Macaca fascicularis: one gene and its partner. The protein of the gene in region 1 binds, or shares a complex with, the protein of each later gene. Links are inferred from orthologs where the notes say so. Each region holds a gene or a part of one and is shown in the gene's direction. Other genes may lie near its edges.

What was found.
Region 2: the proteins of ZC3HAV1 (region 1) and KHNYN are in contact, whole or in part, in a crystal structure (PDB 9BGL), measured with the Homo sapiens proteins. The link is inferred for Macaca fascicularis from reciprocal best matches to the Homo sapiens genes ZC3HAV1 and KHNYN. Residues at the interface, in NP_064504.2 of Homo sapiens: Glu5, Val6, Cys8, Phe9, Lys12, Ile13, Ala16, His17, Glu29, Ile30, Ala31, Leu32, Leu113, Glu115, Phe118, Ser127, Gly128, Leu129, Asn130, Glu133; in NP_001277186.1 of Homo sapiens: His651, Lys652, Asp654, Phe655, Gln658, Arg659, Pro661, Tyr662, Asn677, Phe678.

Annotation. Positions count from the first base shown.
Region 1 is NC_088377.1:180,719,123-180,724,318, reverse strand, and holds part of ZC3HAV1 (zinc finger CCCH-type antiviral protein 1), read left to right. Parts: intron 1-3,804; coding exon 3,805-4,067; 3' UTR 4,068-5,196.
Region 2 is NC_088381.1:92,255,211-92,260,406, forward strand, and holds part of KHNYN (protein KHNYN), read left to right. Parts: intron 1-1,175; coding exon 1,176-1,283; intron 1,284-1,488; coding exon 1,489-1,590; intron 1,591-2,104; coding exon 2,105-2,354; 3' UTR 2,355-5,174; coding exon of another isoform or gene 5,175-5,196. Other genes in the region: epimerase family protein SDR39U1, read right to left, coding at 5,175-5,196.

The DNA of each region.
Region 1 (5,196 bases):
CTGAGGCAGGCAGATCACTTGAGGTCAGGAGTTCAAGACCAGCCTGGTCAACATGGTGAAACCCCATCTCTACTAAAAATACAAAAATTAGCTGGGTGCAGTGGCATGTGCCTGTAATCCCAGCTACTTGGGAGGCTGAGGCAGGATAATCCCTTGAACCCGGGAGGCAGAGGTTGCAGTGAGCCAAAATCGTGCCACTGCACACCAGCCTGGGCGACAGAGCAAGACTCCATCTCAAAAAAAAAGAACAGGTCCTGTGGACAGCTAACCCAGCTAGAGAGGTGTTCCCAAAGATTGGGCTAGAGTAGGATTCCCCTGCCTTGTAGAGTCACCACATAGTGGAGAAGGGAGAAGTGGTACAAGATATGACCATAAAGAGCTAAACTTGACTGTAAGGGCATGGGAAACTAATGAAAGGTTTCAAGCTGGGGAATGAATTTACTGATGAGATTTCATAAGTTTATTAAGTTTAAATGTATCAGTGAAACTTACCTAGAAGTGTTTGAAGGAAATGGGAAATGTAACCATCTTGAGTGACATATAACAGGTGAAATTAAAACCCATCAGTTTCTTACAGGTCTATCCTATGTTAGAATCCAAACAAATATTTATCCTAAAAAATGAAATGTTAGGCTAGGCACTGTGGCTCATTCCTGTAATCCCAGCACTTTGGGAGGCTGAGGTGGGTGAATCACCTAAGGTCAGGAGTTTGAGACCAGCCTGACCAACATGGTGAAACCCCCTCTCTAATAAAAATACAAAGTTAGTCAGGGGTGGTGGCACATGCCTGTAGTCCTGGCTACTCGGGAGGCTGAGGCACGAGAGTTGATTGATCACAAGAAGGGGAGGCTACAGTGATCCGAGATCCTGCTACTGCACTCCAGCCTCAGCTACAGAGGAAAACTGTCTCAAAAAAGAAAAAAAAAAAGCACTTAGAAATGTAGGAATAGAAATGAAGTTTCTTAACACAATAAAGGGAATTTAAAAAAAAGAAAATACAGATTCCAGATTACATAAGTGTGTTATAAAAAAACTGATGCAACAAAAACGAAAATCGACAAATGTCATCAAACTAAACAGCTTCTCCACAGCAAAGGAAACAATTAACAAAGTGAACAGACAAACCCACAGAGTGGAAGAAAATATTTGCATGCCATACATCTGATAAGGGATTAATATCCAAAATGTATAAGGAACTCAAACAATTCAACAGCAAGAGAACAAACAACCCGATTTTAAAATGCGCAAGCTGTTCCCATAAGTGGCCTGAGGTGATCTGTGAAATGGTTCGCTGTTCACTTGACCCAGAAAACTCCATGAAATCATGCAAATAAAGAGGTTCAAATCTTCATGTTCACTTTAAGAACACCCATGAGACTGCCCAGGCCATCAAGAGTATGCCTATATGAAAAGCCAGCAAGTGTCCGAAAGATGTCGCTGTATAGAAACAATGTGTATCATGCCAACGTTCCAAGGGTGGAGTTGGTAGGAGTGCCCAGGCCAAACAGTGGGGCTGGTCACACAGTTGGTGACCCAAAAAGAGTTGAATTTTTGATGTACACACTTAAAAATGCAGAGAGTAATGCTGAACTTAAGGGTTGAGCTGTAGATTCTTTGGTCATCAAGGATATTCAGGTGAACAAAGCACCAAAGATGTGCCACCTGACTTCCAGAGCTCATGGTTGGATTAACTCATGCCTGAGCTCCCCCTGCCATATAGAGACAATCTTCACTGAAAAAGAACACCGTGTTCTTAAACCAGAAGAGGAGGTGCCCGGAAGAAAAAACTATCCCAGAAGATACTGAAGAAGCAAAAACTTATGGCACAGGAATAAATTCAGCATAAAATACGTGCAAATAAAAGTTTCAAAAATGAGCAAAAGACTTGAATAGACATTTCTCAAAAGAAGAAATACAAATGGCCAATGAGTTCATGAAAAAATGCTCAACATCATTAATCATCAGGGAAATGCAAATTAAAACCACAACGAGCTGTTGCCTCATACCAATTAGAATTAGAGGCTGAGGTGGGAAGATTGCTTGAGCCCAGGACGTCAAGCCTGCAGTGAGCCAAGATTGCACCACTGCACTTCAGCCTGGGCGACAGACGACAGAGACCCCGTCTCAAAAACAACAACAACAACAGCAGCAAAAAAAAAAAAAAAAAAAGAGAGAGAGAGAGAGAGAGTTGAATGTAGTGACATAGTAAGACTTCCAGGACTAAAGTGGAAAAAAAAGTTGTAGAACAGTTCATATATTATGATCCTATCTATGAACAAATAGAACAGTTCATATATTATGATCCTATCTATGAACAAATAAACCACCATAAAACTATATTAGAGTATATGCACATATATGTATGTGAATGCATAGAAACAGGTGTGAAAGAATTCCCACCAGCCATAAACTGTTTTGGGAAGAGGGGTGGGATTGGATGTGGTAGATCAGTATAGGTAGACTTCCATATTTCACTTTAAATATAGTAGAACATTATGTGCATAGAATATCTAGTATCTGACCTATTCAGGATAAGCAATGTTTCTGGAATTGAAACATCTAACTATAAAATGGTAAAAAGAACAAAAACAAAGTAAATGCAAAGTATATTAAACATTTGTTACCACAGATAAATTCATTTTACTTATTGATTCTTGCATGGAAATTGGAGTTGGCAATATCTACTCATGGTCTTTAAAATGACAGAGTAGCCCTGGCCGGGCGCGGTGGCTCACGCCTGTAATCCCAGCACTTTAGGAGGCCGAGGTGGGCAGATCACGAGGTCAGGAGATCAAGACCATCCTGGCTAACACGGTGAAACCCCGTCTCTACTAAAAATACAAAAAATGAGCCGGGCGTGGTGGTGGGCGCCTGTAGTCCAGCTACGTGGGAGGCTGAGGCAGGAGAATGGCGTGAACCTGGGAGGCGGAGCTTGCAGTGAGCCAAGATCGCACCATTGCACTCCAGCCTGGGTGACAGAGCGAGACTCCGTCTCAAAAAAAAAAAAAAAAAAAAAAATGACAGAGTAGCTTTCTTAAAAAATATTATTTGTATTTTTTGATAGATTCTCACTCTGTTTCCCAGGCTGGAGTGCAGTGGTGTGATTCTAGCTTACTGCAGCCTCAGCTTCCTGGGCTCAATCAATCCTGCCTCAGCTTCCTGAGTAGCTGGGATTATAAGTGCACACCACCATGCCCGGCTAATTTTTAAATTTTTTGTAGAGATGGAGTCTCCCCATGTTGCCCAGGCTGGTCTTAAATTCCTAGGTTCAAGTGATCCACCCGCCTCAACCTCCCATAATACTGGGATTACAGACATGAGCCACTGCACCTGCCCAGAGTAGCACTTGACAATGATAAAAATAAAAATCTTAACTTGGCAGGAAATTGTTGGTCTGCTGTGTATGGAAGCAGCAATCATAATCTGAGGTTGTTTTAGAGAGGACAAAGCATCAACTGACTCATCAGTTCCAAGTTGGCTCAATTCAGTTCACACTGGGTGAACTGCATGAATTGGGCCACTGTGTCATTCTCATTTGGTCATTGCACCCAATGGTTCACACTATCAGCATGAGCTCTGCACTGTAGCAAATATTCCTCAGTCATTTCTATAGGGTTATATACTGTATTTAAGTTTGCCTGCATCATGAACATGTTTTTAAGTGCAAAGAAAAGTTTATAAGTATCAGTAAGGTATTATTGACATATGCTTAGTCCACGCCCATCTGACTATGTATAACTAATCTTATAAACTGCATACCTTCTTTTATAATATGTCTTAACCTTTCTTTCTGATTCTTTCTAGGAAGTTACTTTGCAAAAGATGCCATCTATTCCCACAAAAATTGCCCATATGATGCCAAAAACATCGTTATGTTTGTAGCCCGAGTTCTGGTTGGAAATTTTATTGAAGGAAATGTGTCGTACATGAGCCCTCCTCAGCCATACAACAGCTTTGTGGATACCAGGTTGAATCCCTCCGTTTTTGTCATCTTTGAGAAAGATCAGATTTACCCACAATATGTGATTGAATATACTGATGCAGACAAAGCCTGCGTGATTAGTTAGAACCGATGAATACAGCGTCAGAAGGATGCCATAACCATTCTGTTCCCTTACAGAACTAAATTGCCCCAGACAGGAGTTAAAGTTTTATATTTTCCTGCCCAGTTATCTAATGCCTTAGATCAGTGGTCCCCAAACTTCACTACACATTTGAATCATCTGGGAAGTTTTAAACAAATTCTGATGCCCAGGTTGCCCCCCATGCCAATGAAATCATTTCTGGGCTTCAGCGACAGGCAGTTGTATTTTTTTTTTTTTTTTTTTTTTTTTTTTTTGGAGATGGAGCCTCACTCCATCGCCCAGGCTGGAGTGCTGTGCCACGATCTCGGCTCACTGCAACCTCTGCCTCCCGGATTCAAGCAATTCTTCTGCCTCAGCCTCCCGAGTAGCTGGAACTACAGACACACACTGCCACGCCCAGCTAAGTTTTTGTATTTTTTTAGTAGAGACAGGAATTCACTGTGTTGCCCAGGCTGGTCTCAAACTCCTGAGCTTAGGCAATCTGCCCGCCTTGGCCTCCCAAAGTGTTAGGATTACAGGCGTGAGCCACCACGCCCTGCTAGCAGTCGTATTTTTTAAAGTCCTTCTGATGATTCCAATGTGTTGGAAAGTTTGTCTTGTCTCAGATGTAACTGGTAAAGTTTGATTTCTAAATTTTCTGTAATTGCAGCAACCTTTCCCTCCTGTCTACCCTTTTAGTTTACTGTATGCCATGGTTTTGTTTTGGTTACATTGAAAGAAAGTTAATTTGGAAAATTTGGGAGAAATCTAAACATGCCTATTAAGGATATAAGACATTACAGCTTTAGAAGAAAGATTATGAAAAACTGGGAAGAAAATCCTTAAGGACATGCTAGGGAAAAAAAAGTAAAGTTGAAATGCTATTGCAGACATAGCTGCAGTACTGTACCTCATCATTCTGATGAAACTGATTTGGAGCACCCATTTCTTTATCGCTACATTTATTTAGGGGACCAACTCCATCCAGGTTGACTCTCTCTGGAATGCGGTAATAAGAGCTGGCAAGTATGGCTCAGAGAGAAGCAACCAACTGGAGTTAATTGCCCATTTGGGCTCTTTGTATAATTATGGCAAAGTAGACATTTATGTTCTAATTAATATGATTACAGAG
Region 2 (5,196 bases), on another chromosome or scaffold:
TCTTGACTAGAGAGCTGAAAGAAACCATAAACCAAACACTACAGGAATGCGCCCTTCTGGCTGGGGTTTTGTGGGAAAGGAGAGATTTGTGAGTTTTTGTGTTGAGAAGACTGGGATGGTTGGGATCTCTTGGTTTCTAAATCTGTTAAAAAGACCACCACCCACCACCTCATGAGTCCTATCCTGTCTTGTGGAATCAGAATTACTGAAGTGGAGCCCAGGCATTTTTTTAAAAAGTTCCCTTGGTGATTGTTTTCCTTAGCAAGTCTTGGGAAGTGCCTTCCAGATAGAGGAAATAGTTGGAGAAATATGGAAGTCAGCATAAGACATATGTGGAGAGCAGAGTGTAATCTGATTATTGATTTTAGCTGGAGTTGGGAGTGGATTAGGGAATATTGGGAGAGAGAAGGCTGTAAGGGTGATTTGAGCTGGCCTGTAGAAGGCCTTAGCTGCCAGGCCTGGGTGTGTAGACTTTATTTGGTAAATAAAGGGCAAGTGTGGAAGAGTTTTGTGTAGGGGATAAGCATGCTTTCTTGTGGCAGGGCAGGGGAGACTTGAGGGTGGGTGAGTGGTCAGAGGTGGGGACCCCCTTGTTGGGAAGTGATGCATGATCTCAGTTGCAGTATTTGAATTACTAGGGTGCTAATGGTGGTCCTGGGAAGGAAGGGAGCAGAGCACAAGGGCTTTTCAAAGGAAGGGCATGTTGGATTTGCGAGGGATTGGTTGGGCAGGGTGGAAGACAGTCAGAGCTAGATCTTACTGTTCACTAATGTGGCACAAAGTGTTGGGTAAAGGACTATGGTGAGCAGATAGGATACTACTGGGAGACCACCTTGGATTCATCTTTGTTTCCTCTCTAGCCCATGGCACTTATATCTAGTCAGTTGCCTGTAGCTGGGTCAAGTGAGGTAGGGGGCCAGATCTCCATCATCAGAAGTGACTCATGGGAGTCAGTAAAACTTCTGGGGTTGGGGCCTTGGAGAGTCTCAAATGGTTGCTGTGGTTTTTCCTTTTATTTTTATAGATTTGGGGGATACCAGTACAGTTTTGCTACATGGATATAATGCATAGTGGTGAAGTCTAGGCTTTTAATGTAACCATGATCCAAATAGTGAACATTGTACCCAGTAGGTAATTTTTCAACCCTCTCTTGGTTGCTGTGGTTTTGGAGACAGGTTCATGGTGAAGCTGGCTGAAGAGACAGATGGGATAATTGTCTCCAATGACCAGTTCCGGGACCTGGCGGAGGAGTCTGAGAAGTGGATGGCAATCATCAGAGAACGGTGAGGGAGCCCTCCTGCTGAGAATTGGGCACAGATGCAGATGTTTTTCTAAAGCCAGCTCTGCTCTGGCCATGGGGTGAAAACTCTGGGAAGCAGGTGAAGTTTTCTTGAAGGATGGAGCCAGCAGCTTCTGGTGATACTGGTCTCAGTCGTCTGGGAGGTGGGCCAGGGCCCCCTCTGTGACCACATATCTTTCGCCATCCAGCCTGCTGCCCTTTACCTTTGTGGGAAACCTCTTCATGGTACCTGATGACCCACTGGGACGAAACGGCCCCACCCTGGATGAATTTCTGAAGAAGCCAGCCAGGTAATCCTTCCCCTAGACTACTTGCGGGCAGCCCCCACCCCTGGCCCTCTCTCAGCAGGCCCAGAGACTTGGGTGGAAGTGTGATCTCAGTTTGAGTTGCCTTGGCCTTTATAAGCTTCCCAGGGGATCCTGACATAGAACCTCCTTGCTGGTAGGGAAACACCTGCTTCCTGTTTCTCTTAATCAGCATGTTTGATGGAGTTATTTGGAAAACGGTTGCTTATACTGAGATCCAGTTGTATTCGGCATGCCTTCTACTGACCATTACATAAGTGATTCATTTAGGACTAGAACTAGATCATAATAGTGGCAGAGTTCACCCTGGTTCCAAAAGAACGGCCCAGCTCCCCTTCAGAAGTGGGTTGATACTGCCACTCAGTGGTCAGCTTCAGGAACTTCAGGGTTTCTCCCCTAAAGCCAAGAATAGGCAGGACAATTAAGAGAGGGGTAGCCCACTAAGATCTAATTTCCCCCCAGGATGCTCATCAGCTCTTTTTGGTCTGTTTCTTCCTAGGACACAAGGGTCTTCTAAGGCTCAGCATCCTTCCAGGGGCTTTGCAGAACATGGTAAACAGCAGCACGGGAGAGAAGAGGAAAAAGGTAGTGGTGGCATTCGGAAGACCCGGGAAACAGAGCGGCTCCGGCGGCAGCTGCTGGAGGTGTTTTGGGGTCAGGATCACAAGGTGGACTTCATCCTGCAGCGGGAGCCATACTGCCGGGACATTAACCAACTGTCTGAGGCCCTGCTCAGTCTTAACTTTTGAGCCTCACCTGCTTGAGTGGTTGCCGCCCCGTCAGCTCCAGCTGCCTCCAGCTCAGCCCTTTCTGTGAGAGTCCCTCTGCTGCTCACACTCTGATCCAGAGGCACCCTGAGTTGATGCTTTGGATCAGGGAAGCCACTTTGGGACAGGTCCATAAAGTGACCTGATCTTACCGAGTGAGGACCTCAGCCAGCTCTCAAGAGGTTCTGCTCAGCCTTAACTTCTCAACTTTGCCTTAGCACAGGGTTTCTGTAGGGAGTAGGGGCTGCTGGAGAGGATTAGTTCTGGACACTGAGACTGTTGGCTCCACCTCCAAGCTGAGCTGGGGTGGAGGGCAGGGTGGGCGGGAACTGACAGGAAGTTAAGCTGTTCCTCTCTCTGGCTGCTGCTGTGGATGGCCAGAGGACAGGATACTCCCTGGCTGAGCTCCTGGGAGTGTGGAAGGAGACGCTGGGCCCTGGAAGGGCCACAGCGTTATGTGGATGGGGCCACGATAGAATGGAGTGAGCTAGTGAAGAAGGCAGAGGGAGACTTGGCTTCTGGTCTCAGCTATGCCTGTTTGTGACCTTGATTGAGTTGCTTGGGCTTTACTTCCGCCTACAAATCAGTGGTAAAAATACCTGTTGGGAGGAGAAATGAGAACATAGAGGAAAGCTTCTTGGAGAAAAGGTGCTTGGACCAAGTCTCAGGTGTGTCTGCCTGTGGCTGCACAGGCTCTCTAACCAAAACCTCACTTTCAGAGAGATGTGGGTCCTTTGTCTTCAGGGTCCACACCCTAGATTTTAACACTGCATTCTCACTATAACATGCCCTATAATGGCTGCATCCCTTTTGAGCAACCTCCAAAATCCACGTTTATACAATAGGTAAATTAGGGATGACTGCATTATCAGAATACTCTCAGGGTTCCTATAAATGGCAGCTCTCCTGTTGTATTCAAGTGTTTGTTTACAGACTAACAAATTTGTTGGCAAATCCCTGGTTAGATGCACTTGCTGGTGTTGAGATGAACACGTCGATTTTTCACCAAATCGATGAAGCCATGCTCTGCAATGACAATATTAATGTGATCCAACCCTAACATTTTCTCTATGGAAGATATATGTTGCATAAAGTGAGGCACACTTCTGCTTTATGTATGTGTGTATGGGGATGGGAAGACTTAACGGAAGTTGAACCAGTTGGTTCTAGATGAACCAATTATCTGGAAAATGAAATAACCAGAGTTGGAAGGCACTTGACTGGCCACCAAACCAACTCTGCTGTCACTAACATGCTCTCTCCACCCTGATTCCTACAGGTCATTGCCCTTGGTCTGCTTGAAGTCCTCCTGTGCCAGGGAATTTACTATCTCCAAGGTAGCACATTCCCTGTGTAGATGGTATTAATCAGTACTCCTTCCTTTAGTGCAGCCTAAAGTATGCTTTTCTGTTACGTCTACCTTTGAGGCTGGTCATACCCCCAGGAACAATACAGAGCCAGTCAACTTCCTGGAATCCAAGACCAGATAAAGAAGTAGGACAGGTGCCCCTGGATTCTGTTCTATGTGGGCCCTGTGGTGAGTCTCTGGATAAGATCTTTTCCAGGCCGTGACTTTTGCCTCCCTCTGAATGGCACAGGGAGTTGAATACTGCATGGAGAATGTAACGATGATGGGGAGGGTCCTTGGGTCCTTGTGTCCTCACCCCTCCCTTTTTGGTGATTTACACCACTGTACCATACTGACCCAGGCTGGGGGCAGGTGTGTTGGAGACAGGCTGGTCAAGGAGGTGACAGTGATTCAGAGATAACCCAGAGGTCCCTGAGAAGAAGAGACTGGTTAATATGGCCTGAACTGGTGGCTGGGGGAACTGTGTCTGATCAAGTTATGGCAGATGTCACAGCTTTAGGTAGGTAAAAAGGGTCTTAGGTGAAAACTTGGGAGGTTTTTTTTTCTCCGGATAGGGTTGTTTATAGTTCTTGATTGGTATCTTGCCCTTTTCACTTTCAGTGATGGTGGGTGTACAGTAGACCAAAAGTATCTTCTGCCCTTTTGTGCTAACGGCGCTGGTTGACTTGAGTGGCCCCAGTCAGATGAGAGGCAAGTCCTAAACTTCTTATAGACAGGGATGTTGGCTTTGTTCTGCTGCAGCCTGATAAACTGGGACCACTGTGTGGTTAGTAATGCACTTGCCATTTGGTGACACAGACTGAAGTCTATCCTACACCTGGGCCTCACCTCTTCCTCTACTGGCATTCTAATGGCACTCTGACAGCATCCAGGGTGACTACAGGGCCCACTGGAAATGGATCATCATTCTGTCTTCTAGTGCCTACCTTTATCATAACCAGATGTCCCAAACTTGTGACAAGCTCTTTTGGCAACTGAAGGACCAAGAAGGGAGAGGGTGATGAGAGAGACTGCCCATTATAACTTTCAAAACCCCGTCTTGGGGGAAGAATCATCTAGGGTGACATTCCTTGAAGTAAATCGTAGGCGAATCTAGGCCAGAGAGATGAGCCAAGGTTAGTGAGATAATTTATCTTTATTGCCTAAACTGCAGAGCATTCTCTACACAGCATAAAGGAGAAGTGGGGCAGCTGCAGGACATGTAGAGAAACCCAACTAGAAAATCTTGCAAGGAGTTGAAAAGATTAATGTCCCAACCTGATGAGATTACAGCCTTGAGACAATAAGGTGGAGCAACAGAACAATGGGAAAGAGGACTGGGGGAGAAATCTAAGAACCAGATGGCTTCAGCTCTCTAGAGGAGCTGAGCCTATTCACAGTGCCTAACCTGGAAGCCTATGAGGGACAGGCCTCAGGCCCTTGCCATGACCTACTTAGGCTACAATTTCCTTTAAG